Arabidopsis thaliana: one gene and its partner. The protein of the gene in region 1 interacts with the protein of each later gene in a pairwise test. Each region holds a gene or a part of one and is shown in the gene's direction. Other genes may lie near its edges. The genes, in order: GAMMA-H2AX and AT4G25400.

Region 1 (16,964 bases):
AACTATGGCCAAAGAAAGCTCTAATGGAGAAGGGGTCACATACTAATCCCGTTTGCTGCAACTTTTACTCACTGATGATCTTTAATACCCTGAAAAAATAACATTTAAAATCAATTTCTTTTATCATCTGTTTCTGTAAATGCTTGTAAATGTAATGTTCATTATCAACAGTCTCTCGATTTCCATGGACTGTTTCTTTGTAATCTTTTTTTTTCGTGTAACTCTCTCTATTCATTCATCAAAAAAAAAAGAGAAAAAAAGGAAAAAAGCAGGCAAAAAATAGAAATAAAGATTTATTTCGTTTGGGTTTTTACTAATTGAGTAAAGGCATTGTATATTTTGTTGCATTGCAGTGTTATAATCTCATGTTTCTCTGCAGGGTTAAGAATACAACACCGAATTTTCTTAATCGCGTCAACTCAACTCTTTCACATTCTCTAATCAGACCTTAATATTAAATATTATCATTTAATTGTGAAATAAGTTCTCATTTAATAGATTTTAGTGGATATTTAAAACTTCCAAAAATCATAACAAAGTAACACATAGTCTAAAGCAATCTTTTTTCATGTCACTTAAACCCAAAATGTTTCCCATGAATGGTTATAATCTAAATCAAGGTCTCGATGTTGTTTTTAACGGTTTTACCACTTGAATTTCACAATCAACGTTGTTGGTTTACCTTGACTATAAAGATCAAAATTTTGTAGAGGCTATCAAAGGATTAAGGGACCGAATATTCACATGTTCAAAGCAATGAAACCATTTAAGTGCATCCACAACCTGTTTTCATAGAAAACTTTGCCATCATCTTCTACGGTCATACCATCAATCTCGAGAATGACGTCATTCTTCTTCACAAACTGGTTACCAAGTGCATGCTGATTGACCTCAGTCACTACAACACCGGTCATGATCTTCTTCATCTTAAGATACTTTCGCATCATCGCATTCTTCATCGACTGTAGAGAGTAAACAAAACCCTATCTTGTCTCCTTCATCAATACTAGCTAAGAATAGAATAATTTTCTTTGTACTGTTATTATTTTGATGAAGATAAACACCCTTGTATACAAAACATATCGACCTTGCATAAGTCGCAACCATTCCATGTATGCTATAATTATTTGTCAATAAATTCATTAGTTGTAACATGTGGTCAAAGTTTGAGTTTTAGTTGTTCACTCTTTTTTTTTTTTGACATAAGTGTTTTGACTTTTTAAGTTTGACTTTATAAAAACATGCAGAAATGTACAAAGAATATATACATATAATTATCTTAATTAATTTAATAACTATCAATCTGTCATACTACACCACTATCAATCTATCATCATCACCACCATTATGCTTGACAGTCACTTTTTAGTTGGCCCATGTTAAAGCTGTTTGTGTTATTTGTTATTGGGCTTATCCTTCACTACCATTTGATTGAAATTTATCTCATGACCCAACAAATTGAGCTAATTTCGGTTCAACATTGGATGTTAATTTTTTTTCAAACCGAACCGAATTATAGTTTTGGTGCATTTTTTCTAAACCGAATTTTAACACAAATAGTAATCGTCTTAAAAAATTCACCGACTTGTTAAAAAGAGGCGGAAAAAAAAACCCGCGAGAACTTACAATGGTGCCACGCTGGCAATCCGCGTGACTCACAACTAACCAATCAAAATCCATTATCTCAACGCTATATATTTCAGAAATCACAACCTAAACCCTAAATCACTCCACTCACAAAATCCTCAGCCATCTCTAATCACATTTTACAATCGCCTCTTCAAATTTCCCGATAAACAAAAAATGAGTTCCGGCGCCGGCAGTGGAACAACTAAAGGTGGCAGAGGAAAGCCAAAAGCTACAAAGTCCGTCTCTCGATCTTCTAAAGCTGGTCTTCAATTTCCCGTTGGAAGAATCGCTAGATTCCTTAAAGCCGGTAAATACGCCGAACGTGTTGGTGCCGGTGCTCCCGTTTATCTCTCCGCCGTTCTCGAATACCTCGCCGCTGAGGTAACAAACAATCTTCTGTTTGGTATTTAGTCTTTTAGTCTCTATGATGAGAATCACTCGTAATTGATATATCACTAGATTTTTCGATGTTTACCGAATCTTTGATTTTGATTTGATGTTAAGGTGTCTTCTAGAGTCTGATCTCTTATATGATGTTGATATAATCATTAGGTATTGGAGCTAGCTGGAAATGCAGCAAGAGATAACAAGAAGACACGTATCGTACCACGGCACATTCAGCTTGCAGTGAGGAACGATGAAGAGCTTAGTAAACTTCTTGGAAGTGTAACAATTGCTAATGGAGGAGTTTTGCCCAACATTCATCAGACTCTTCTCCCATCAAAGGTTGGAAAGAACAAAGGCGATATCGGATCTGCTTCTCAAGAGTTTTAATTTTATTTTTTAGCTTGTAACATAGACATGGCTCTCTGTTCCACAATAGTTTTGGTATTTTCATGTTACTCAAAAACTGTGTTTGCAAATCCAGTAATGAATTCGGTTTGAAGAAGTGAAATAGTTAAATTTGATGTGTTGAAATAGCGGATTCAATGGCTTCAATACAAGTGCTAATAGGTTTGGCTTTAGCCATGGTTTCTGCAAGTGAGACTCTTGCTTCTTTGTGAGAATGTAATAATGAGACAGTGTTGGAAACAGCCCATTTGATATGAGCCTCCTTTTCTGATTCTGTGAAGCCGAGCCACCGCAGAACATCGTTCAACTGCAACACTCAAATCTCAAAAAATACATTAGAAGATTATAGTCTCATGACTATGAGTGGAAGGAGACTTGAGTTTGTATTACCTTGACAATATCTGAGTATAGCCCTTCTGAGTATCCGAATAGTATATGTTCTGTTACCATTCCTCCAAGTATCACACATGAAAAGTTGTTCAGTGTCTGCATTCACAGATTTGACCAATCATTACAGAAACAGCTTGAGCTAAAGAAAAACACTCATTACAGGTCCATTTGAGGAAATCTTACCTTGGATGAGATATTGCCTTGGTTCATTTGGCCGTCGACATCATCTTTCATAAGCTGGTTTGCAGCACCGACCTGCGGTGATAACATAAAACTCTTGTGGTTGGGAACATACACAAAGCTGACCATTTGTTGAGCAAACTACTTACTTGTTTGAGGAATTCAAACCCCACAAATTCTACTCTCCCGGTCACATTCGACACATTCTGCCTAACAGCTTCCAAAGTTGGTATTTCATAGTGTCTTGGGAGAACTCCAAGCAAGTAACCAACAAGAAAATGCCCTGATTCATGCTGCAGACGTCGCAGAAAATCAATTTATATATATTTGCCCATAAAGGTACACCACAAAAAGTTCTATTTGATTTGGTCTCATTACCAAACAACATTTGTGATAAAATTTCACTTTGCAACAATGTTAAGTTCTAGTTTTATTTGACAACTAAGAGATCTTCACCTGAACAACAGAGAACCAATCTTCTTCAGGTGAAGTTTTAATTTCCATCTCTTTGGATGTTCTCACTGAATCCTACAAAAAAAATAAAAAAAATTAAGGTACATGAAATTACATGTGTTTATTGGTAAAACACTGCAAAAATTGAAAGTACCTCTTGGACATAAACAGATTCAATACTTCTGGAGACAGAATCAATCAACGACCTGAGATCAGTTTTGCTACTCATGTCTAATTTCTTCGGAAGCTAATTAAAAAAAAAAAGGAATTAGAGATGATTTATTGGCAAATAAGCATTAAGAGAGAGATGCGAGAGAAACCAATTTAGCAGAGCCAAAAGCAGATAAGCAGCCATGTTTGCTCTTGAGTTGTTTGACGAGTGAGAGAGCAGTTTCGTAATTGCCTCTTAAGAGTTCTTTATCCACTCTTTCAAGTGATTTCCGGCGGCGGTCTACCGGAGATTTAGATCCGAGCACCATGACGCGGCTCGCTTGGAGATAAGAAGAGTTCATGTTGGTTTAGATATTCGAATTTATAAAACGTGAAGCATTGTAACTCAACAACTGGGGATGTAGCTCAAATGGTAGAGCGCTCGCTTTGCATGCGAGAGGCACGGGGTTCGATCCCCCGCATCTCCAAGTTTTTGGACAAATTTTGTATTTTATATTTCGTTCTAATTAGTAATCATCTTCTGGAAATTGTGTAGAAGAAAAAGATTAAAAAAGCATTGGGATTATGAATTCGAAGGCTTTTATTAGTGATTTTTAATTCGGTTTTTTTATTATATTTTTATTGACATTCTAGATTTTAACCCACTACAAAATTATAATCAATTTAAAAGCTTTTTTCAAATAGTTATTTAATTTTTATAGATTTCACATATTATATAAAAAAAAGAACAGCCTATTAAATAGAATTTACATTTTTAAAATCTACATCAAATGTTGAACTGTTTAAAAAACGAAGGAGTTTCAAATATGAATTTCTTTCCACTTTATTTGAAACAAATTTTGTTCCTCGACTCTTGATTATTATTTGCCTTCAGCAATCACAGCAGAAAACCCTTCTCCTAGACATTCCTCGGGGGCAGATCACACCACCTTGGAAACAAACAAATAGCACATGCAGGCATGCAGCAACACAGACAGGCGTTCATCCCTCACTTACCTGCATACATCATGGCAACTTGTTCCCATCTCACCAGTCACCTCACTGTAGCGAGTAACAATTCGGTCCATGTGCTGGCTTGGCATGGAAGGCAACCCTTTCTTTTTAATTGTTATGTTAATATATGTAAGAAACTATAATGACACTTACAATGATTGATATGAGGTAGGGGATATCATATTAGTGGCGCATATCATATTAGTGGCGCAATTAAAGAAGCTTTAATGTGTCGCCGCCATTTAAGCCTAATTCAACGGGCTGATGGACATAAAATATTAAAATGATTTTTTTTTTTGTTTTGTTTTCGTCAAAATATTAAAATGAATTGATTTTGCTCTTTTAGTAACCGAAGAAAATCTGTCACTTGTCTATTATTCCCTCAATTTTATTTGATTTATAGTTTAAAGATTTTTCATACAAATTAAAAGAAAAAACATAAAAACCTTCTTTAATATATCTATTTTTTATAAAATATTATCAAATAAAATTAATTCGAAAATATACTATTAAATATAATTAGTTAAAACTATTAAATATATTTAATTTTTGCATAAAAAAATATAAAAGCAACATTTATTTTGTAACAAAAAAAAACACCTTTAAACTAGAAATATATTAAAACAGAGGGAGTACTAGAAAAGTAAAATGGCCAATGTGTTCATATCTATCGTGTCGGCTAAGAGTCCCAATCAATGACTCATTTTTACACGCCTAAAAGAAAATACCATAGAAATAAACAAAATTAAGATAAAGGTTACTAAAAAAAGAAACACCAAAAGAAGAGAGGGAGGCTCATCTCCCTATATATGGCCTCTATATGTATCAAGTGCAGCCACAGTTTTACCAAAGCTTTAGAAAACCTTGAAGTGTGATTATAGATACACTTTTATTCAGAAAAAGAACTTAAGCATGCAGGAGCTGATAAATACTTTGTCAGCGCTTACGACTGAAGAAATATATCGGCCATTAGCGGATTTTCCGGTGAATATATGGGAAGATCCCTTGATCTCTTTTTCTGTTTTGGATCCGGTACGTACCCACACGACTTGAAGTCACAATTAGGCAAATTTGTTCACAAAACACTATGAATATACTCTATATTATGATGTCTTCTCTCGTGCCATTATTTTGATGTATATAGGAGAGTGAGATAAACGAAGAGAAGCTGAGTTCACTAAAGGAAACCGTAAGAGGATTGTTAATGGCTTCAAAAGAAGAGCCGATAGAGAACATCAAATTCATTGATGCTCTTTGTCGCCTTGGTGTTTCCTACCACTTTGAAGTAGACATCTTCACGCAGTTAGAGACGATGTTTGGTGTCATGGTTTTATGCAGATGATAAGAGGCAATGAGTTCGATTTATACACCGTCTCCCTCGTCTTCCAAATTTTTAGACAATTTGGCTATAAACTTGGTGTCGGTAAGTCACTCTAATGTTAGAATTATCGAGCGTAATATGTTAATTAATTTATCAGTATGAATAAGTTTCTTATTTATGTTTCCATATTTTTTGGGTTAAAAAAAATTTGAATTGATATTACTAAGAAAAAGTCATGAAAGAGAATGTTGCTAATTGTTAGTAGTATTTTGTTTTTGGTCTAAGAACTATATTACATTTTGGTTAATGTGAAAACTGACATAAGTATAGCGAGCGTATTTTTTCTTCTTTTTCAACTTCACCTAATTCGATCATATTAATACTGTGGAAGCGCAAGGTATACTCACTTTGTACTCTCTGTGCATAATGATTAGTAAATCTACCAAGTCAATGTTAATTATTAAACTTGATTACTAACAAAAAATTATATGTGTAAGATGTGTTTAACAACTTCAAGAATAAGGATGGAAAGTTCAAGGAGCACCTAGCTGAGGATGCAAGAGGTCTTTTATGCCTTTATGAAGCTGCACATTGGAGCACCCATGGTGAAGACATTCTCGATGAAGCTCTTGCTTTCTCTAGGTCTCATTTGGAAGGACTGGCTGATCAATCTAGTCCACCTATGTCCATCCGCATTAAAAATGCCCTCAAACATGCATACCCTAGGGGTATATCAAGGATAGAGACACGACAATATATCTCATACTATGAAGAAGAAGATCTGCACGACCAAACCTTGCTAGAATTTGCTAAGATAGATTTCAATCTTCTGCAAATTTTGCACCGCAAAGAGCTTTGCCAAGTCTTCAGGTGCCATTATGAGCTAGCAAGATAGATTATATATACATTTTAAAACTCTTATATATGGAGAGACTACCATAATGATTGTCGATTCTTCTTTTTTTGTAGGTGGTACTCAAATCTAGAGCTCGACTTGAAAGTACCATATGCAAGGAATAGGACTGTCGAAAGCTACTTGTGGGCTGTTGGAGCATACTTTGAGCCCCGATATTCTCAAGCAAGGATTAGATTGGCCATTGTTGTTATCTTATTGACTCTTGTTGATGATACGTACGATGCATTTGGCACGATTGAGGAACTCGAACCATTTCATTGATTATGTGGAATCCTAGCGGCATAGAAGGGCTCCCGGAGAGCATGAGGTATCTTCATCATGTGGTGTTAGATTTCTACGGAAAACTTGAGGAGGATATGGAGAGGGAAGGAAGGTCAGGATGCGGCCTTTTCGCTAAAAAATCGGTATTACTAAATACTTATATACACAACTACTTCAAAAGCACAAAACTAATTAGTAATTAAGTACTAAGTCTATGTTCATGTGTGTTGAATCTAAATGAAAAATTTGTTGGTTATATGTTAATAAATCAGATGATTGTAACTGCTAAAGCCTATCTTCAAGAGGCAAAATGGTTGAGTGAAGACTTTGTGGCAACATTTGACGAGTACAAAGAGAACGGAGTTTATTCATCGAGCTACTTAGCTCTGTTAACAGGATCCTTTCTAGGGATGGTGGATGAAGGCACCCTTGATGTGTTTGAATGGTTAAGCACTTTCCCACCCCTTCTTGTGACTTCTGCACTAATAGGCCGTCTCTGTGGTGACATTGCTAGTTGCGAGGTAATTAACTCACATTATTGTAGTGATGCCAATAAGTTAATAACCAGTCTAGTTTGACCTATCGGATCCTAAATGACAAAGATATTGCTTCTAAAAGATTATATTATTAACTAGATTTTGACCAGAGTAGCCATGAATCAGAAAATTTAGGAAAGATAGGAGAAAATTTATAGATTTCCACAAACAAAAGACAAAAATTCAGTAGCATATGTAGTTTGGGGAAAAACATGAAACAAATAATAATAACACAAAATCTGAAAGGAGAAAAAAATTAAGACAGGAGTTTTGTCAGTGAAAGAGAGATATCCGAAAGAATGAGAAAGAAATCAATGTCATTTAAAAAAAAACATGTCATACTGAAAGAAAAAAACAATGTCATGTGTAAAATTTTGTCTCCATGCTTTCGGAAGGAATAGCATGTGATCGTAGTATATAACATGTACTATGAGAAAGCAACATGTTACAAAAGAAAATGACACACATTACTACATTAGAAAAAGAACATGATATTTGACGTTGGACATTCCAAGAGAGATTGAGATCCAATTTCTTGTAGAATTCGAATTATAATATCAGACCTAAGAACTTAAGCTGTAGTTGACACTCTACATACAAATACAATTTTTGTCACCACGTTGGTGTAAAGATAATTTTAAAATCTGAGATCTATCTAATGCAGTTTGAACATAAGAGAAAGCACGTAGGAACATCCATTGATTGTTACATGAAGCAATATGGTATTTCATGGGAAAAAGCCGAAGAAGAGATCAAAATCATGGCATTGGATTCATGGAAGAGTCTTAATCAAGAACTGATGACGAGAGATCACTCTTTTGCTTTCCCTATCGTCATGCGATTCCTAAACCTCTCGAGGGTCGTCAAGGTTTTGTACAAAGACACTGACATTTTTACACATCCTGAGTTGATGAAACATCACGTGGTTTCTTTATTCCTTAACAGAATATCTATTTGAGCAGAACTATACGACAGTGCAAGTTGTTTTTTAGTTTCTCCGTTTTATGTTGTGTGGATGGATATTAGCCGTTTTCTAATATCACACTGTGCGTTTTTTTAATTTTTGTGTGTGTTTCTAATCTTCAATATGACGAAGATTAATATATGTATAGCTGTGTTTCTAATGTGTACATGTTGAATAAATATGTGTTAGTTTTATTTTCAATAATAAGCATGGTTTGATTTCTATAGTTTGAATTTATTGGGTATATCATATTAGACCACCTAGAATTCAACTTGAAAACATCCAGCGCTTAAACAATTTGACTTCACTCCTTAGGGTATCTCTTTTTGTTATTTGGAGATGTTAATTTTGTGATGCGGTACAATACGAACTTAAATTTTCATTTATTTTACTTAATTCATGTTTTATTTAATTTTTTTCATTATAAGTAACATTATATAAATGTGCAATTAATGAAGATTTTAATCTATATCAAACGACTAAAATCGATCCGAAGAAACCAAACCATATATACATGAACCGGAAAAATGAAAAACCAAAATTGAAAAACCATATCAAACGAAACCGAATCAGAATTGAACACCCAAAAGCCAAAACCCTAATAAATCGTTCAATCAAACCGTATATACTGGTTTTCTAAAAAATATTCGGTTTAGTATGGTTTTTCCCGGTCCGTACTTCTCAAAAGAGAAAATACTTGCAGGCATTGAACAAACAATGGAGAAAAGAGAAGAAGCAGGAGAGTATCATTCCAAAGATTTCGAATGGGAATTTCTCAAGAACATCGTCGAGAACGATCCTTCTCTCTCCCACCATCTCCACCACCACCACCAAAATCTCTCCAAATATTTACCAGATTCGCAGCCATGGCAAGATTTTCACTCCCGTCACTCCTCCGGAAAATTCTTCAAGGTACTACACACACATCACTACTCCATATCTTGTAATCAGCTCTTATCATTTACAATCGAAGAAAAGTTTGAATTAGTAGTAAAAATTTGCTTCTGAATTTTTTGAGATGTAGAGAGATTGATTAATCTTAGGATTTGGGTAAGAATGATGTTATTGTTGGAACATTTTAAACAAGTGGCTCCGGCCAACTTTCCGGTTTTCCGGTGAAGTTCATCACCGGAATGACCGGATCATGGAGTCTTTGGATTCCTTCGTAATGAGCCTTATTAGATGTAAAAATTGAAGTTATTTTGAATGAGAAATTGAGTGTTTTTAAATCTGGATTTCGGGGTCCTACATTTCTTCGTCTTGGCTGGCTGGTTTTCGTGTAGGAAAGAAGGTATCTGTTGAAGGAATTTCCTGAATTAGTTTCTTGTGGAGAGAACTCAAAACTTTTGGAAATTGGTTGTGGTAATGGCAGTACCGTGCTTCCGATTTTACGGTATAATTCTTTCGATCTTCGCCGTATTATTCTTCCGATTTAGCTTTTTGGAGTTAACCTTTATGTGTTTTATCTTTGTTTTTGTGTAGTGGAAGCAAGAACATTACTGTGTATGCTTGTGATTGTAGCAGTGACGCTCTTGTTAGGACTAAAGAGAACATTGATCGCGCTATTTCTTCGGTTGATAACTTTCATTCTTTTTGTTGTGACTTTTCGACTTCTGAGTTTCCAGATTGGGTGGCATGTGATCGTTGTCGAGACAAGTTTATGCTTAACCACTCAGGTTTTGGTCTCTCTGTAGCAATTTATCCATACACATTGTTCTCTCATACACGTCCTAGCTAATCTTGTATATCTTCATTAATAGGAGGGAGTGAGAGCAAACATTGCATCGGTGGGGTGGATTTTGTCACTCTGGTATGTGAACATCGCTCATTTAGTTAAGAGGAATAACAATGCTCACTGTAGGAAACAGTAATGTCAGATATTCTGCAGTGGAACTAGAGTAGTTGATCTCATGGTTTTTATAATGTGGTTATAAGATAGATGTGAAACTGAAATTTATGTTTCTAATCTTCTATGATCTGATTCTTAGCTATTAGGCTTTTTACAGATGTGTTATATGCTCTGCTATGTGAACATTTCTAATCGAAACGGTTGTTATTCCAACTTTTTATGTTATGTCAGATATTTACATTGTCGGCAGTGCCTAAAGAAAGAATGCCGAGAGCTATCAAGGAATGCTTTGCTGTGCTGAAACCTGGTGGTCTGCTCTTATTTAGAGATTATGGTAAGGTCACTATTAAGAGCTGTATCACATATGTTTACAAATAAAGAGAAACTAATAGGCTAAACACCTTGACAGGATTATATGACATGACTATGCTACGGTTTGAGCCAGAGAAACGTGTAGGATTTAGGGAATATGTGCGGTCTGATGGAACCCTTTCCTATTTCTTTTGTCTCGACACTGCCAGGAAACTATTTACTGATGCTGGATTCATTGAGGTAAACTTTCTTTTTTCAGTTTTTCTATTCTTTGTTGTGATTGAATGAATAACAAATCTTATGATATTTTGATTCTCGTGTATAGGTTGAGCTTGAATATTGTTGTGTCAAAGCAGTAAACCGGAGAAAGGGTAAGGACATGTACCGAGTTTGGGTTCATGGGAAGTTCCAAAAGCCCTTCTCTAATTAAGTTGAAACGCAATGCTCTATCTGTGAAGAAGATTGCAGAGTCTAGTGTTTGGATTATCTTTACACTGATCCTCTCATACTAAGTTCACGTTCTTTGTTCTCTAATTGTAACCTCACTTGTTCATATATTCAAAACCATATTCATAAGACTCTAGTCGTCAAATCATTGCAGATCAAAACTAAATTCGTTTTTTTTAGTGTAAGATTTTTCTTGCGAAACAATCTTTGAGTTTCATGATCTCTCTTCTTCAAGCAATTCACAATGTTCATGAACTTCATGTTGGTTTGAAGATATTGGAATTTTTGTTCTCAAGATACGCTAATGTTGAACTAATGTGCTTGATGATAGACGTCCTTGAGCACACTCTGTTATTGACAAACGTGTGACTTTTGAGCTAAGAGTAAGTTAATTATAATCTTTAAAGTTTAGATGAACAAATCCGAACCATACCTTCAAATTCACCCATCCCTGGTCACGAATCAAATTTGTAAAACTATATCAAAGAAATTGAGATATTTGATAAGAGAAAAATCATAAAAAGTATATTTTTTAAACTCAAAAATCTATTTCCAAACTTTAGGTAAAACTAAGATATTATTGATAATTTCAATAAACAAACAAATGAAGCAAATCAAGTAAATAATTATATTGACTGAAGAAAAAAGTAAGAAATCAATTATATAGTTATTTTAATGATGATATGTTCAACAAAAAAAATTGTTCTTTTAATGATGAGGCTGATTTTAAAGATTGTATTTGCTTATGTGGCAGTATAATAAATTTTATTTGATATATACAGATTTCCAAATCTATAAACAATTTAGAAGTAATAACTAATAACTAAACAATTAGTTAAACATGTAAGCACGCTCTCAATATTAATAAATAAGCAATCTATAAAATGAATTGTTGTTCATAGTCATAAGCTCTATATAAAATAAGCAATCAATATCCTTTTTTTTTCTTGATTTTCACCAAAATATATCTGTTTTGATCAATTTTCCTATGTCGAATCAACAATCATCACATCTCATTTCATTACACAAAGATGGTTTATACCGTCTAAACCTCAACGAAACCACGTTGTTGAAGCTAGACTTGCCCTTTACATTACCGGCCGAAACCGAACCTGTCTGTATTCTTCATTGTCGTGGAATGATGTGTCTGACCCTCAAAGAAAACAATGACCTAGCGATTTGGAAACCAGGTTCGGAGGAATTCAAGAGAATACCAATGGTTATACCGGGCCAAACCACAAATCTATTGGGATTTGGTTATGACCGGATTTCTAATGATTACAAGATTGTAACGAAAATTGGTTTCAAAACCTATATCTATGCTTTCAAAGAAAGCTGTTGGAGAGAAAGTGTACCAGATACTTCTCTTCATCGCAAATTCATAGACCGGACCGGTACGGTTGTGGATAGCAGACAGGTCTCACACCAAAAACCCCCGTAGGAAAAACACCATCCTCTGTTTCGATTTCGCCAAGGAAGAGTACCAAGAGCTATTATCTCCTATGCACACGGAGTCGAAATACAGTTCATGGTTAGGGGTTTTAAGAGGAGAGCTATGTGTTATCGATCATTACCCAAGTCTAAATAATGACATTTGTCTATGGCGTCCGCATAGAAAAGGCAAGGAGATCATGCATTGGAATATCGACCCGTGGAAGGAAAATGTTAAAGCGTTCAACATTTTAAATGTTGGTTTAGCGTGCTTAGATAGAAACGGAAATTTTGATGTTGGTTTTGCGTGCATAGCAAGAAACGAAGAACTCTTCCTAGTGGTGAAAGGTAATGGAAGAAGAGAAGACAAGGTTATAGTGTATAACGAGAGGCGAGAGGAGTTCACTGAAGTTCCAATTGGTGGTTCTTTGAAAGGGTTTAGATGTATGAGTATATATGACAATCGTTTCTAGTTATGTCAAGATTAAGGAGATTATAGATTGGTTCTAATTAAGTATGCAACAAATATCTTATGGTTATTTCATTCAATTTGAAAAAATAAACTGTATAAGTTTATGTATTTTAACAATTAATTACTGAGTAAAGACTATAAATATGATCCTATATATAAAAAAGTTAATTTGTGTTGTTTCGTATAAATAAATGATATATCGAACAATAAAAAAGCATTCCACTATTGTGCATAATCAGACACATGAAAACAGAAATAACAGATTCTAATAGATATTTTAAATTTTTTGATTTAAACGCTTAAGCCAAAAATCCTCTATATCTCGGTTAGATGTTTTAGGCAATAGGCGATGGATCACCGTTCGCTTAGCATTTATAGCGGTGAATCACCGTTAGCTTAACATCTAGCATTTGTTTGGAACATATTAATCCTATCATTACAAAAAAAATTGGTAAAAGAAATTTACTATCAAATTTTTACTATTCATATTTGGTAGGAAATTAGTAGAAAATTCCCTACAAAATAGTTGTAAAAATTTGGTAAAAAATATGAAAGATGCATTAATTTGTTTTAAGGTATAGAAATAACATGTTAATTTTTCTTACGTTTATGATTTATCGTGTGTTTTTCATAAAAAAAAAGTTAAGAAGGTTGTTTATTATAATTCCAGTAAACTATCGTAATTGACTAATTGTTTTATTTCGCTTTAAGAAAAAAAACAATATGTTTGGATTTTTTTTCCGAATTTGTTATTTCTCTACCTGCATCTGCCAAATCACCCACCTCACCTGACTTGTCTGTCTGAATTCTCTCATTGGAATCTCAGAAAAGTTTTTTTTTTTTTTTTGTTTAGGTTAAAATACTATAAAATTAAAAATAAGTCTCCCACTTGGATTCTTCACTGTGTCTCACATCTCTTTGTCTTCTCCGCCTCCTCCGATCTCACTCCGATCTCTCTACGATTCATTCTTCTATGGCTTCCATTGCTACTTCTGCTTCTACTTCTCTCCAAGCTCGTCCTCGTCAACTGGTCTCTCTTTTCTCTTCTTCCCTCGAATCTCTCATCTTTTTCTTACTGAATTTTTGTCGTGATTTCTCCCATTTTGCTATAGATCTGATCTGATTCATCTCGACCTAGTTGTTCTTCTTCTTCTTCAACTGTAGATCTAATTCGCAGAATCGTTTTCTCATCTCTATATTGATCTGTTGAAATTGCTCTGTAATTCATTTTTTGTCCTGTAATTTTTTTGCATTGAGGTAAGTTAGTTTTCGTTTTCTGGAATTTTAGGCTCTGTTGAACCTATTTTACTTAACTCGGTCGAATCACCGGAAAAATTATCCTATTCCTCTTCGAATTGGATTTGTTTTATATCTGAATTTGAATAGATTCGAACTCTTGGTAAGAGCATGCGGGTTACATAGATTTTAGTTGCTTTTGTTTCCTTCTTTTGGTTTGTTTCAGTGCAAATATATTGCTTTGCATTTGGAGTTTAGTTTTGTACTGATGGAAAGTTATATTCGAATATGATGGCAGGTGATTGGGGCTAAACAAGTTAAAAGCTTTAGCTATGGAAGCAGAAGCAATCTTTCTTTTAATCTTCGCCAGCTTCCTACCCGCTTGACTGTTTACTGCGCTGTAAGACCTTGTCTCTTCTCTCATATGATGTTGTTTCTATTTTACTTTTGATCTCTCGAGCCAATTCATCATTCACCATTGTTGATTGTTGATAAACAGGCAAAACCTGAGACAGTGGACAAGGTGTGTGCAGTTGTCAGAAAGCAACTCTCACTCAAAGAGGCTGACGAAATTACCGCTGCCACCAAATTTGCTGCACTTGGTGCTGATTCCCTTGATACGGTAACTACTTTCTCATGTCTAATAATTGGATTCAACTTTTGAAATGGGATTGTTCATTGGACTTATTGATGCATAATCAATGCCTCTTTAAACTTGTATCCTGCTTTCAAGCTCATATTGTCGAATGTTTAGATTGCAAGTCTTGTGAAGGATCGCTGCTTCTCCTTATACACACATCTCTAAACATGTTACTGAGATACACATACTCATGATTCTTGTTATATTGTTATGGACGTACTCATGCTTCGTGTGTCGGGGTTCCAGGTGGAGATAGTTATGGGATTAGAGGAAGAGTTTGGGATTGAAATGGCGGAGGAGAAAGCACAGTCTATCGCCACAGTTGAGCAAGCAGCTGCACTCATTGAGGAGCTCTTGTTGGAAAAGGCCAAGTAGAAAATCCTTTACTACATTAGCAAAAACGAAAAAAACCAAAACCCAAACCACTATCTTCTTATTGTTTGGTTAGCTAGAGAGCAATTGTGTCCGTTGAGATTTTATGCTATTTTCGGATAATTATTACAAGGCTTGTATTTTAATATTTACTTTCGTCTGAAACATTTTACTTTCACCTTTAAAATATTAGTACTTTCTGGTATTCAAACATAAGTTTTAAATAATATAATATGGTTGATGATCTAATGAAAGATTTGAGTGCTTGACATTTTTTTGTTTCTTTATAATCTAGAAGTTTTGTTGTCCGAAGATTCCAAAATTCAGGGGAAGGGGCATAAACATTTTTTTTCTTACCTCACTTCTTTTGCTATGCAAGTTTAAAAAAAATATTTTTGCTATGAATCAAACGAAATTAGAGATATCATCGAAATGTCTAGAGTAATGATTCTTTTTAGGCAATGAAGATTGACCACAAAAGAAGGCAACGAAGTAAGCGGAGTGGTAATGCATGACATGAGTCATCTAAAAAAAGCATTTGTTTGAATAACACTCTCATGTTAGAAGACTTCTGTGTTGCTTATAAATAGGATCACATGTTACTATAACTATTCAATCTATTACCTCTAATGTTTTGCTTCCAAAGAAAAAAAGAAACAATGAAGTTCTTGATTTACCTCGTTGTGTTTGTTCTTCTTTTCAATGGTTTGACGGCCAACAGAGTGGAAAACTCTCTGGTTCAGAAATATTGCAATCAAAGTTCAAAGTACGCGGAACGATATTTCTATAAGTTTTGCATTGCATCTCTCGAAGAGAATGCGGAAAGTCAGAAAGCAAGGAATAGCAATGATTTAACATTGGTAGGAACGAATAACGCTTTATCAAACCTAACAAACGTGAAAAGAATTGTGGAGAAGATTTTCAACGAGAGAAAATATAAGGGCAGGCTGAGTAAGAAGTTGTTGCAAAAGTGCCTTAAGCTTTATTCTGAAGGCTATGACGCGTTAACCTCAGCTTTGAAGTACATTAAAGTGAGAGATCTGTTTAAAGTTTCGGTTCATTTGCAGAAAGCAAAAGAAGCACCAAGCATTTGCGAAATGGGATTCAACGGCGACAATAAACAAATATCTCCGATGAAGAAAGAAAACGATGTTCTTTTCGACGTGATCAATATTCCTTACAGTTTTAATATGAATCGACATGGTTAGATTAGCGCCTGAAAAGGAACCGGAGGTTGCATGAGTTTTATTTTAATTGAAAAAAGTTATGAAAGACAAGCTTAGATCTGTTAATCAAAATGATATTTAGTATTTACTAAAAATATATATGTGTGTGCATGTGTTGAGAATGTTTTGTTTAGTTCTCATAATCAACATGATAATTACGGTTTAAATTAAAAGATTATATCCATGGATTAACTACTCATAGAATATCCAGTTCATATCATTTGCATTTTTTCCTTTTCTTTTTTGATAAAAGCAAATATTTTTGCTATATATTACAAAAGTATATAGATCAAATAAGTCAATCTAAAATACCTACAGTTTATAAATTATTATCTAAGAAACATTAAAAAAATACAAAAAGTTTCATATAAGT
Region 2 (13,703 bases), on another chromosome or scaffold:
AAGATGGCTTGCTTGTTTTGAATCTCTCTTCAGTTCAGGGTGTTTTGTTTAGCTAAAAGAACTTATATTATTACTGGTACAAAGAATTTAACAACATCAAAATCTTAGCCAAGGAATCTAAACATCTACGACACATATCACTAAAACCTCTGCAACTTGTCAGCTCTGATCAAAGGCAACTGTGTGGCCAAGGCGAGCCGTCCAGATTGTTTGTAATCAAAGGGACAAGAATGCTCCTCCGGATAACGATGTGACCCGCAAAACATGTGTCCACATCTACACTTGAATCCCAACATTCCTACCTTCCTCTTACATATCCCACATCTCCTTTTTTTGACCGGTTCTTCTTCAACGGCGGGACTATTCGTAGGAGGGCAACACTGTGATTGCTCGGTCTCGGGTTCGAATCTTAAAGCGGGCGAGTGTTGAAGAACACTCTTTTTGTAGCAGAGAGAGCATAGATTGTTGTTCACTCGGGTGCCGTAGAGTCCACAGCCTCCCTCGCATGGTAATGCTTCTGTTTCGTTCACCATCTTCTTTCTTCTACTTCTTGCGATAGTTGTTATATGAGAGTCAATATAATTCAATATTTTGTGTGAGCTCTATCAATGACTCTAAAATCTAAATATATAGAGGATGTCTATTGTTCTTAGTTCTTCTGGAATTGTGTAGTGCAATTAAGTTTCCCTTTTTTAATACAATTCGGTAAGTGTTTCCTCTTTTGTAATAGTCATCTACGTTCGATAAGTGTTTGCTAACGATTCTTATTGCAAGTTATTGATTTTCCTTTCCTCATATAACTAAGAAAGGAAAAGTTACAATAGAAACGCTGAGAGATATTTCATAATAAGGAAACTGAGAAGACGTGTTTAATCCTCTTCGAACAGTCATAAATCCAATAAAGAAAAACGTTGACTAATGTAAGAAAAAAAAGACAAACCAAATAAATAACTAATCCAACTTGATGATAATTTAGACAACAGCAGCTTCCTGGTAGTTTCTAAAACGTCGGTTCGTTTTCTAAATACAGAAAAGAGTTGCGTGCCGTTTTCACTATCTTAAGGAGTAATTAATTAGTTTCAAGTAAAATACCAAATTAGACAATTCCACATGGTGATCTTTGATGGCCTCCCCACCACCGCACGTGAATTTGGAATACCTTGTTTAGTTTCATTATCAAATTACACCTAAACGCGTTACTAATTAAATTATTTATTGTCTATCAAAAAGCCACGCAACAACAGTCTAGCATTTAAATCTTCACGTGGGTCTAACCCGGTTCCGGTTTCATTATCCGGGTATATGTTTTGGCTTCGTCTGAATTTGAATTTGAGTTTTCTCATTCAAAAAACGATAAATAAATAAAATATTGGTCAGTTATTCTTTCTATGGTTCTTGTTTGATATAGAAAGAATAACAGGTTTTGGATTTGTCTGTGTGTTTGGACTTTGGATTAGTATTCATTCGGTTTAACCAATCAAAATTCGCAACCTTAACACGTTATAAACCATGATGTAATGATTTAATCAATGATCAATTAAATGTATAGAAATTTATTTTCCATTTCCGCAACAGCTCAAAACGTTTTCTCTCTTTTCCGATTTTAGTCTAAAAACTGAAACAAACACAAAAAGCAACAATTTGTCTTTGAAAATCTCCTCTGTGTATGGTTCAGCTTCGGTTTACTAAATCTCTATGCCGTCACGATCAATCTCGGCACCGGTTCCGGTTCTTGCTCCGGCTCCGATCGTTTCCTCTTTAGTCCCAGCAGCGCCGTCAGGACATCAGAATAAGACAACGCGAATCTTTCCACCGTTCGTGGTGGCTGGAGCCGGCGCCGGTTTCTCTCTTTTCATCACTCTCTCCGTCTGTTTCTGTAAATTCAGCCGGAAACGTTCATCACCTCCGGCGGAAAACGCTTCCTCTTCGCCTCGGAGACCGTCGCCACGTGAGTTTTCATATTCGTCTCTCCGTCGCGCCACCGGTTCTTTCTCGCAGGCGAATAGACTAGGTCAGGGCGGATTTGGCGTCGTGTTTCGTGGAACTATCTCCGGCGGCGAGAATGTAGCTGTTAAAGTAATGGATTCAGGATCTCTTCAAGGAGAAGGTGAGTTTCAGAACGAGTTGTTCTTCGCCGCCAAGCTTGACTCGCCTCACGTTGTCCCTGTTATTGGTTTCTCTCATGATCGAAAACGACGACGTTTGCTTCTTGTTTACAAGCTTATGGACAATGGTAATCTCCAAGACGCCTTGCTTCACCGGAGATGCCCTGAGCTTATGGATTGGAATCGGAGGTTTTTGGTTGCCGTTAACATTGCCGATGGGATTAAGCATCTTCATAGTCTTGAACCACCTGTGATTCATGGTGATATTAAGCCTAGCAATGTTCTATTAGATAGTCTCTTCTCTGCCAAAATCGCTGATTTTGGTTTGGCTAGGTTGAAAGCAGAGCAAGTGGAGATTAGTGTAGCTCCGGAGCGTGATGGTGATGGATCTATGGTTGAAGAAGTAGAGAGTGTGGTAACTACTGTGACTGGTTATGAAGATTTTAACTTTGGGTTGGTTGATCAGTCTCCGGAGAGTGTTGCTAAGGTTCCTGGGTCTGTGAGTGCTTCTCCTGAGGCGACGACGGTTGTCTCTGTTTCTCCGGAAATGGGAGAGAAAACGGATGAGGATGGTGGTAGTGTTGTGGTGATGAAGAAGGGGAAAGAGAGTGAGAGCAAAGATTGGTGGTGGAAGCAGGAGAGCAATGTTGAAAGAGGGAGAGTGAAAGAGTATGTAATGCAATGGATTGGTTCAGAGGTAAAGAAGGAGAGACCAAGCAGAAGTGATTGGATTGAGGCGGCAGCTTTGTCTTCTTCGTCAAGTAAGAAACTTGAGAAGAAGACTAGCAAGAGACTAGATTGGTGGTTGTCATTGGAGGAAGAGGATGAGAATAAGAAGAAGAAGAAGCGGAGGATGGTTAGAGAGTGGTGGAAAGATGAGTATCGTAGAGAACTCGCTAAGAAAAGGAAGAAGAAGAAGAAGATGACTTTAGAAGCCGAGTTTTGTAGTGATGATGGGAGTAGTAGTGTGAGTCAATGGCGGCGTGGTAGTGGTAGTGGTAGCAGCATAGATTGGTGGTTAGATGGGTTAAGTGGTGAACGATGGTTGAGAGCAAGGGGAAATAGCCATGACTCGGTGAGCGGTGAGATAGCTAAGAGCTGCGGAATTAGTAGCACGCCGAGCATGAGAGGGACTGTGTGCTATGCAGCTCCTGAGTACTGTAACTTGGACAACAACGTGTCAGAGAAATGTGATGTCTATAGCTACGGTGTTCTGTTGTTAGTTCTGATTTCCGGGAGGCGCCCGTTGGAGATGACGGGCTCCGCGAGTGAGATACAACGGGCAAACCTCATGTCTTGGGCGAGGAAGTTGGCGAGAAGAGGAAAACTTGTTGATCTTGTGGATCAAAAGTTGCAAAACTTAGACCAAGAACAAGCAGTGTTGTGCATAAAGGTGGCTTTGTTGTGTCTGCAAAGATTACCGATTTCACGACCGTCAATGAAAGAGGTCTTGGGAATGCTTAAAGGAGAAGTGAATCTACCAGAGTTGCCTAGTGAGTTCTCACCATCGCCACCATTAAAGACAACGAGGAAGCAGCGCCGTTGACTAATTTAGGAATCATTTTGATTATTATTATTCAAGTGTTACACCGCTAGTTTTAGGAACTTTGATTCAATTTCACTATACTTTCCAATTTCTCTTTCTATAGTTTCACACGCATTATTGACATTGATTTTTTTTTTACACGTTTATACTTCGATGTCAATATGTCATACAACACTTCTTCAAATCGGAGTTGCTCGGGATTGGATTATTAGCAGAAAGAAAAGGCTAAAACTTTTTCCACCTCCAAAAGTCATTTAAAGGTCACACAAATCCTATGGGCCTAATCAGTTAACAAACCACTTCCAATCGAGTTAAATGAAATGAAGATACCAAATTGGGTCACGTTAGGAGTCAGCAGTTTGTGTTCTTTATATATGGACATGGGCCATCTTCGATTTTTCTTATTCGTTTCTACTTAAAATCACCAAGATTTATTGAATTTTTCTTCTTATTATTATTTGGCCCTTATATAGAGTATGGTCTATCCATAATTTGGCCCAGTTTTTTAAAAATACTAGATATTTGGAACATGCATGCTTTTTATTTTTAAATGTATCAGATTCAGATGAAACTCAATTATTAAAAAAAAAATCATACATAAACAGTTTAAAATATTTACTACTACTTAATTATTTTCGGATTAAGAAATCCCTTATAACATTTCATAAAACATAGTATTCTGCATTTTTTCAAAAAGTTGTTGTAATGTTTAGAAAACAAATTGAAAATGCAACAGTTTTTAATGAATAAATGCAAGGCGTTATAGAATGTTGGTTTGTTTTTCATTTTAAGTGTTTTTCAATATTTTAAATAATAACAACAACAAAAATCATTTGCTTTCGACTAGAAACAATGACTTATATCATTGCTTATACGAGTGCATGTTACAATCGTATGTGGCGGTTAGTCATCCTACTTGGCTCGATCGATGGTGTATTTGCTGAGGAAAGGGCTTTGTGTTCTGATTAAATTTGAGTTTTGATGGTAGTATGGCTTGAGTAAAGGTTGAGGATGTTGTTTCATTTTCATATGTCTGGCTCTTTCACCTCTTTGGTGGGTATGTGTTGTATCAAACAATCGTCTCTTAATACAATACCAGTTGACAAAAAAAGAGCAGTAACTAATTCTTATAAACTATAGTACATTATTTCCTATATATTTTATAACATAAAATAAATCATATTTTCTCATAATTTAAAGTGCTATTCAATGATTTTTAGGAATACGATCCAGCATATGGCCTTGCAGTCTATAGTATATATAAAAATAATTATATGGTACCTATGTCAGAGATATCTAGGATATATAGTAGATCGTCGTACAATTGATATATCATATAGTATGTGTATACAATAAGAAAATAAACATATAAATTGTACGATCTCTAAAGAATACTTTAAAAATGATAAATATTAAGATATGGAATGTTGAAGGGAACCTATTAAAAAGAGAAGAAATTAATGATGAAGCAGAAAGACGTCATTGCTTACCCTAACAAACCTCTCTCTCCATCTTTTTCCGATACGTCTACCAATAACTTAGTATTTTTTTCTCTTAGTTTTTAATATTATAACCAAACCCTTTTACTATCTTTTTTCCGACTCCCATATCTTTTTTTTTTCCGACTCCCATATTATTCAACTTTACAACAAATCCCTGACTAGAGCAAATCCCAGAGCACAAGATCAGATCCTTCTGTCTCATCATCATCATCATTATTATAATCATAATTACAAGAAGAATCGTTGTTCAAAATAATTAACGTATAACGACTTCTAGATGAATAATTTTCAGGAGAAGAAAAGAAGGCGTAGTAAAACGCCGAGAGTTTGTAATAACGAAGAAAACATGGAGAAGTTAGTACATAAAGAAATTGAGAAACGAAGGAGACAAGAAATGGCTTCTCTCTACGCGTCTCTCCGCTCTCTTCTCCCTTTAGAGTTCATCCAGGTCAAAACCCTAATTACTCTTGCTTTTAATTTCTTCCTCTTCTTCTTCTTTTTTTTTTGTTAAGGAAAAAGTCCACAAGTATGCTTTGTCGCTTAGTTTGTTAAAAAGATTCACTAGAACTCTAACACTCTATCATCACAATATCTCAAGTTGACCTCTACACCTTAATTACGTTTGATTTGGTTTTGTAGGGAAAACGTTCAACGTCAGATCAGGTGAAAGGGGCAGTGAATTACATAGACTATTTGCAAAGGAATATCAAAGACATAAATTCCAAGAGAGATGACCTCGTGTTATTGTCTGGACGAAGCTTTAGGAGTAGTAATGAACAAGAATGGAATGAGATTTCGAATCATGTCGTGATTCGTCCGTGTTTGGTCGGCATAGAGATAGTGTTGAGCATTCTCCAAACGCCATTCTCAAGCGTTCTGCAAGTGCTTCGTGAACACGGTCTCTATGTTCTTGGCTACATCTGTTCCAGTGTAAATGATAGACTCATTCATACTCTACAGGCTGAGGTACAATATCTCGAGCTTACTAACTTTACAGCAATCGAAGCATTACTAACTTTACTAAGAATATAGAGAAATACTTAATCATAACATATATTTCTAACTAACTTTACTAAGAATATAGAGAAATACTTAATCATAACATATATTTCTAACTTTGTTAATGTTTTCGATCTTGTCGGCTTACAAACGCGTTTATGTCCTAATTTGGAATGGAATATAGAATATAGCATACATCTTCTTCATAGCTTTTTGGAATGGCTTATTGTATCAGAGTAATGAATATATATGTTTGAGTTAATATGTGAAGTTGATTTGCCTTATGTTGAGTTAATATGTGAAGTTGATTTGCCTTATGTTGCAGGTCAACGATCTGGCTTTGATCGACTTAGCAGACCTTAAGGATACACTTACCCTGATGAAGTAATTCAAATAATCAAACGTTTTTTTTCAGTAGATTCCTTTTAACTTCTCAAACCAAAACGATGTATATATATGGTTCTTAGTACTTTTACTGTGTATTTATCTAGCTACTTTAAAGAATTTGTGCGTAAGAAACTAATGCTAGCTAGCTTTAATATCACAACCATCTCTTACATATTATATAAACTATGGTCCATCTAAACTTTTTCTTTATCATTGATGTTTTGACTATCTTGTTTATTCACAGAAAAAAATCTTCATTTTGAAAATTTGATTAAATATCTTATGAAAACAAATTATCTTTCAAGAAAATATATTAGTTTACTCTATCTTTTGTTCATTAGGGACAATGACTATTATTTTGAGGATTACCGCATGAGGCCTTCTTATTTCTAGACGTCTCTGCTCCTATATATAAGTCATATAACATTCTTATCTGAAGATGTACGTAATCTGTCGAGTTAGGATATAATTAAGAGAATGGTGGAATTTAATTCGTACACATAGAATTAATGGTATAATTAATTTACTATTGTTGGTGTGAGTAGCATCAAATAGATGATAGAATAGTATTTTGAACAAAAATTCTGATAGATAGTATAAGCCTTCAAACTAAAATTGTTTCCGGACGAATACACGAAAAGAAAAATGAAATAATATTAACTTTCTAAAAACTCATCGATTGATGGGTATACACAAAATGGTTAAAAAGAAAAAAAAATGATTAACAGATTTTGAGATTATATAATACTGAAAATTTGAGTCGGAAATTGATTTGCAATATGCAAAAGACAAGAAACATGAGGCAAAGGAAAAACCATTTTTCAGAGAAATCTAAACATGTGAAATTCGTTTTTCTAAAAGTAACAATTTGCGAATTTATCAGCGACGGATATTTTTTAAAAATAATATGTAATGTTTCTGTTAGAAAGTACTTTTGGTTGACAAAAAGAACTGTTACAAACTTACTTTGTTGTGTACGCACTGTTACAAAATTATCAAATTTGAATCTTGAAAATGGTTAATTAGGGTTGTGTGATACGCACTCCAGATCTGTAATCACAAATTAGCTAATGACTATAAAGTCGATGCAAAAAGTAAAACATAGGGAATGTATATTATATGCCGCTTAGTTGAAAACCGCTACATATCTATGATCGATTTAAATATTTGAACTCTGGAACTGTTGACTTTTCTCTTAGACTTAAATTTTGGTAAACAATTTCAGCAACTAAAATGAGTGAGAAAACTTGGTTGTTGAAAAAAAAAGAGAGAGTGAGAAAACTTTGGTTTAGTTTTCTACAGTGACCAGCTTTGGGGTTTTGGGCGGAATTAATTAGCCAAGTAGGGTCTAGAAAATGTGATCTTTTAACACATGGCCAAAGTCGTTTATATTTGGTGATTCTGTTTAAAACTCACAATTTGTTTTTTTCTTTTCTTAAATTTTGAAATCATATCTATTTAGAACTAAAGTTCATCATAAATTTTGATGACCCTAATAAATAATATAGCGTCAATATAGAGAACTTAGCTGGAGATATATTGTAAATATGTTGTTGTAACGATCTATTACGAATAACTATTGAAATACAATACAATTATTTAAAAGAGCAATATATAATTGTATAATTTACCACATCATTAGGATACTTCGCCCCAAACACATATTTTAATTCGTTTGAACGAACTTAAATAAAAAAAATAAAAAAAATCATTGGTTAAAACTTTTTATTGCAGAAATAATTGGTTGTTACTGTAGAAATAGCGGCTTCTATTCGCAACCGTCAGATATACAAGTCTAAAGAGATGTCTTTAGTTTAGTCGTGACTCCTACAAGGCATGTGTGTACGATCGCCTGATAGGGAATAATTTAACTTTGCATAATCCATATTTTCCGACAATCATCGAGTTGACATGATTCGACATTTGGTCATACACGTAAATATAACAACGTGCTTCTAATTTTAATTTTATAAGATTAAAACTATCAGATAGTACTTTTTGGGATATAGGAAAAATGCATCTCATGTAATAAAACTATAGCAGAAACGTGTCTTAAAAATAATTTACATAATAAATAGTTAACTTGTTTTATCATGACTATAATATGCAAACATTATTGCGGTTGTACGCATGTAATAATATTACTGTATATAAACTGTTATATACCAGCTCTTATAACTTTAAAACTCTATCCATTTTCTTAACGTAATGTATAGTATAAGTGAATGAAATTTTTCTCTTTTTACAAATTTATCTGGTTTATAAAAGTTGCTAATATCAGGCATAATATGGCTTATGGCGTATATTGAGCATATCAGCATACAACACACATCCCTAAAGAAAAGACTTTGGTCAAACATCCAACGAGATTATCTTTTATAGTATAGTGGCTCTTAATATGCGTATATACATATATATAAAAAACAAGGGATTCGTGACAGAGAAGAAGGATTTGCTTTGCCTTGAAAGGATAACCTTTACCAAAAGGATTATTTTTTAATAATGGAAACTGTGGAGGGATGTCATGGTTTTTATATTCAAAGCATATTATATTGAAATAGTATCTTCTTAAGAACAGTATATCTTTAGCATTATATATCTGATACGCAATGGATATGGACGTTTAATAAACATGTGAAAAGACTAGTTGCAGTGTGAGCAGGTGCAAATAAAAAGAAAGGATCGGAGCCCACATGCGACCATCGCAACATCATCAACGGTTGAGATTTGAGGTTTTGTTTTCATGTATCCGAATCTTAAGACATGGTTGCACTTTCACGTCGACATTTGTCAAATAGTTATATTCTCCAGTTCCTCCTAGTTGTATGAGAATATAATTTTGTTTTAGAGAAAATGTGCATTATGGTTTTTTTTTTTTTCCAACAGTTTGCGTTTTAGATACTAATTCTGTATTTCATGGAAAGAGATGGATTCGCAATGGTATTTCACATAAAGGAAATTTTGTGTTGGATGATGGTATGACAAAAGCTGTTTGGAGGGTATAAATTATTAAGTTGACATTAATTTCAAAAATTTATAATTATGTGTTTTAATTCTCTTAATTAAATAAACTGTAGAGGATTTTATTTTGTTATGTATATATATTGACTATAAGTTGTATTCTACTAGTTTGTTACAAATCAAGCCCGAGGCTCATCCCATAAATGAAATAAAAAAAAACTGATAACTATTTCAATTTTATTTAAAAAAAAAAAAAGAGTAATTCCGTAACCTGCATTATTTGGTCCTCCTACTGTGTATCTATTTAATATTTAAATAATGGTCCTCCCTCTCACCTAAGGAGACATAGAGAACCATCTGGTTCTTTAAGGCACCATCATTCAACAAGTAAACAATAAAGGAAATTAAATTATCACAAGACAGAACCACAAAATCCTTTGGAGATCTGACACTGGTAAAGCTCAAAGTGTCAAACTATGGATCCTTATAAGAATCTTAATCCAAAAGGTTACCAGAGACAGAGACCGTTTAGCTCAGCCGGCGAGAGTGGCGGCAGCGGCGGCTCCGGTACGGCCCATGAAACAGATGACAATAAGAAGAAGAAGAAGCTTCTCCACCGCGACATCGAACGCCAAAGAAGACAAGAAATGGCTACACTCTTTGCTACTCTTCGTACTCACTTACCTCTTAAATACATCAAGGTTCATATTCTTAATTACTCACTCTTTTCTCTCAAATTTATTTACTTTTTCGTTATATCAATTGTTCGAAGAAACCAAGATTTGGTGAGATTTGGCTGCTAGGGTTGTGAATATGTCGTTTTTTGTATTTAATTTAGTTTTGTATTTAATCTTTATTTATAGGGAAAAAGAGCTGTGTCGGATCATGTAAATGGAGCGGTAAATTTCATTAAGGACACGGAAGCACGGATTAAAGAACTTAGTGCAAGAAGAGACGAGTTAAGTAGAGAAACCGGCCAAGGATATAAATCGAATCCGGATCCAGGAAAAACTGGATCCGATGTAGGCAAATCGGAGCCGGCGACTGTGATGGTGCAACCACACGTGAGCGGTTTAGAAGTGGTAGTGAGCAGCAACTCCTCAGGCCCCGAAGCTTTGCCACTATCAAAAGTGCTCGAGACAATTCAGGAGAAAGGGCTTGAAGTCATGAGCTCCTTCACTACAAGAGTCAATGATAGGCTCATGCACACTATTCAAGTAGAGGTATGGTTGGTTACAACATGTCAACATGCCATGTCAATGGAAGTTAATCTAGGGTTTCATTACATTTAACTATATTCAATACAGGTTAATAGTTTCGGATGCATAGACTTATTATGGTTGCAGCAGAAGCTAGTTGAGGATTTGATACTTTCGACGGGGTACTAATCATGCAGAAACATACCATTCGTAGTCCTAAAGAACTTCCTCATCGTATGATCTCTTTTACCCGAGCTCTTCATTCGTTATATGAGCTTAGCTAAATAGAAACTCATTTCCAAATTATTGTCCTTTTTAGATGTGGTATTGAAGCCTTGCATGTTAGTGGATATAAAACAGTATTTTTTGTAGATATCATATGTTTGTTGCTCCAATTATTGTTTTCTTGTTCATGAACTTATATATACTTAGAAGTTAAGAACTAATGTGAAAGTCATATATAATTATAAACACTAGAATTTCACATGGTTCTAGTTCATATATCAATGGAAGACTAATATTAGCAATGTTCGATATGGTGTATTTTTGTTCATGTGTTTTACAACATTATAACTATGGTTGATGTTCTAATGAACTAATCTCACCGTATACTTGATGCAGAAAAAATCAAAGTCTTCTTGAAATTTCGTTATGAGAGCAAGGTGCATAGGTGTTAAAGTTCATTCATGGATTGAGGTGTAGCTTTGGTTTAAACAAGTTCAAGTGACTTCATGGGGTAGATCATAACTTCACCATGATTCGCCGCCGTAAAGACCAAGGGTCTGATGTTTTCAGTAGAGATTTTTTTTTTCTCACGGGCAAGCCATTTTTTTGTTTCCCTTTCATTATAACATTTTGTATCACTCCATTGTTAGGTTTTCTTGGGTTTTCTCGTATGGAAAATAAGTTTTTCTGTAATACATATCCATGAATCATTTAGACCTGTATTAGAAGGAAAATCCGGAAGGGCATAGTAAAATAAAGGCCAATACAATAGCATAATATATATATATCGCCTAGTTCTAACCAGATAAGTATGAAGCAAGGGTAGGTGAGAACCATCTTTTGGGCTCTATAATAGTCAGAATCTGCTAGGTTGTTTCTAGCCTACTATTCTCTACGCTATCAGTACCACATTGGTGAATTAGATTTCGATATTTTATGTGAATTGTTCACACATAAAACTGCGAAAATTGAGAAGTAACATAACTGTTATCTCTACGATATATATCAAAGATGAGAGACTATATATGAAGTAGTAGCACTAACCTCGATACAACCAATCCTTTGGGCGATTCGAAAGTGGTAAAATAGAAGTTCCAAATAACTAACAGATGGTAATACTAACCAGTAACCACACAATAAAAGATCGTTTGAATGTACGTGCATGAGTTGATAACCCTAACACAAATAAACATACATACAAATGCCATCACTATTTTGAAATTTTAAATAACTATTTAATTCATAAGCACAAGGCCTCACATCATCAAATGAGTAAATGACATAGCAAATGTGAAGTCAGACAAATTATTTATACAAGATTATGATATTTAATTACGATATTTTTTTCGGAAATAAGAAGCATATTACAAAATTGCCATAGATAAAAGCCTAAGATTCAATGCAGAGAACCACCTTTCTATTTTTAAATCTTGAATTTGCAAAATCTCACTTTCTTTTGTAGTTCACGATACGACACAGTATTATACATATCCCCAGAATCTTGGTTTCTTTTCTTTTCATACGTACCCATAAGCATATGAACAGATCGACCACATATTATTTAATAAAATCTCATTACTTTAGATCTAAATAGTCACTTTAATTAATACATGTCACGAACTTAAGCGAAGTTGACAGTAGTTCAAATGTTTTAAGAGATACGCATGATGAGTGGTTAAGATCTCACTAATATTCGTTTGATATCTTATATCATTATTGGTAATTTAATTAATTATCAACTAGGAGTCTTATTTTTTAATTTAAATGTGTGGTTGTTAAAAAATGTTTTTTTAAATCAAAACTTGAGATGCCGTCCAACAAATTCATGATCTTCAAATCGGATAGTGTTCCGATAAAGAAAATCCCAGACGATATATTAATGAGAATTAATAATATTTAAACCCATATTATTTCCAACTAGTTAACAACCAAACTAATAAATAACAACAATATTGAAAATAGAAACATTAACTCCATCTCATATCAGTTGAAAATATAAACTACATGACTCGAAGTGTTTTGATGGCATTAAGAAATGTTCAGTACATTAATTTCAAAAAGGGGATTACGTTATTTCTTTTTATTTCTTTTTTTGTCTTTTTCTAACAACATTTCACAAAAAGAGAATAACAATAAGAAGCCATAAAAAGGAAACCTTTATATTTTCTTCAGTTGGCTAATTTCGTCGATAATGTTTGTACACGGATCTAGTAATTAAACCAAAAATAAATAAAAATTCCACTGCAATAATTAGAGAGCAAGACATTAATATGTGTACATCTTTCCTACTTCTTACGTATAAGTATAGACCAAAACTTATTTTATTTGTGTGCATGTCCTGTGGTGTTTACTGTTTAATTTAAGCCCACTATTATATGACAGTGATTTGTAGCCAAACATATCCTCATGCACACGTTCACAATCATGTACTTCTCGATCAGTTGGTGTCATGTCCCAGAGATTCAGAAATGGATTTATCCAGTTTTGTATATCTGTGTTTCCAGTCAATAGATTATCATTTAAGGATGATTTCTCACCAACCCAATCCAAGATTTTTTGGGTGAACAATCGTTGTATATATGATACAAAAAGGTTCTACAAAACAAGTACACGTGTGACGTGTGAAAAAAAAAAGTACACATGTGAAAACATACAGACCTAACTGGTTTGCTATTCCGTCTATTGTTTTATGTTACTTCCTAAGGTCAATGTTGAGTTGTACGTTAAAGTAAATCAAATAATAATAATATTGAAGCTTTTTTGATAAATATAAAGATAA

Evidence for each region.
Region 2: the proteins of GAMMA-H2AX (region 1) and AT4G25400 interact in a two-hybrid assay, tested with the Arabidopsis thaliana proteins (one large-scale study listed by BioGRID).

What each region holds. Positions count from the first base shown.
Region 1 is NC_003070.9:20,400,046-20,417,009, reverse strand, and holds GAMMA-H2AX (gamma histone variant H2AX), read left to right. Parts: upstream 1-1,722; 5' UTR 1,723-1,803; coding exon 1,804-2,010; intron 2,011-2,181; coding exon 2,182-2,403; 3' UTR 2,404-2,527; downstream 2,528-16,964. Other genes in the region: AT1G54700 (uncharacterized protein), read right to left, coding at 928-1,107; AT1G54680 (translation initiation factor 3 subunit I), read right to left, coding at 2,528-2,728, 2,812-2,907, 2,995-3,066, 3,141-3,284, 3,448-3,519, 3,599-3,691, 3,765-3,956; AT1G54650 (Methyltransferase family protein), read left to right, coding at 9,264-9,518, 9,890-9,999, 10,089-10,282, 10,367-10,416, 10,687-10,789, 10,865-11,007, 11,093-11,197; AT1G54640 (F-box family protein-like protein), read left to right, coding at 12,203-12,651, 12,830-13,118; ACP3 (acyl carrier protein 3), read left to right, coding at 14,091-14,147, 14,652-14,753, 14,853-14,975, 15,240-15,368; AT1G54620 (Plant invertase/pectin methylesterase inhibitor superfamily protein), read left to right, coding at 15,995-16,573. UniProt on the Arabidopsis thaliana protein: Variant histone H2A which replaces conventional H2A in a subset of nucleosomes. Nucleosomes wrap and compact DNA into chromatin, limiting DNA accessibility to the cellular machineries which require DNA as a template.
Region 2 is NC_003075.7:12,975,796-12,989,498, forward strand, and holds AT4G25400 (basic helix-loop-helix (bHLH) DNA-binding superfamily protein), read left to right. Parts: upstream 1-5,241; 5' UTR 5,242-5,430; coding exon 5,431-5,601; intron 5,602-5,792; coding exon 5,793-6,185; 3' UTR 6,186-6,441; downstream 6,442-13,703. Other genes in the region: SAP10 (stress-associated protein 10), read right to left, coding at 141-533; AT4G25390 (Protein kinase superfamily protein), read left to right, coding at 1,696-3,651; AT4G25410 (basic helix-loop-helix (bHLH) DNA-binding superfamily protein), read left to right, coding at 9,977-10,201, 10,364-10,723, 10,808-10,888.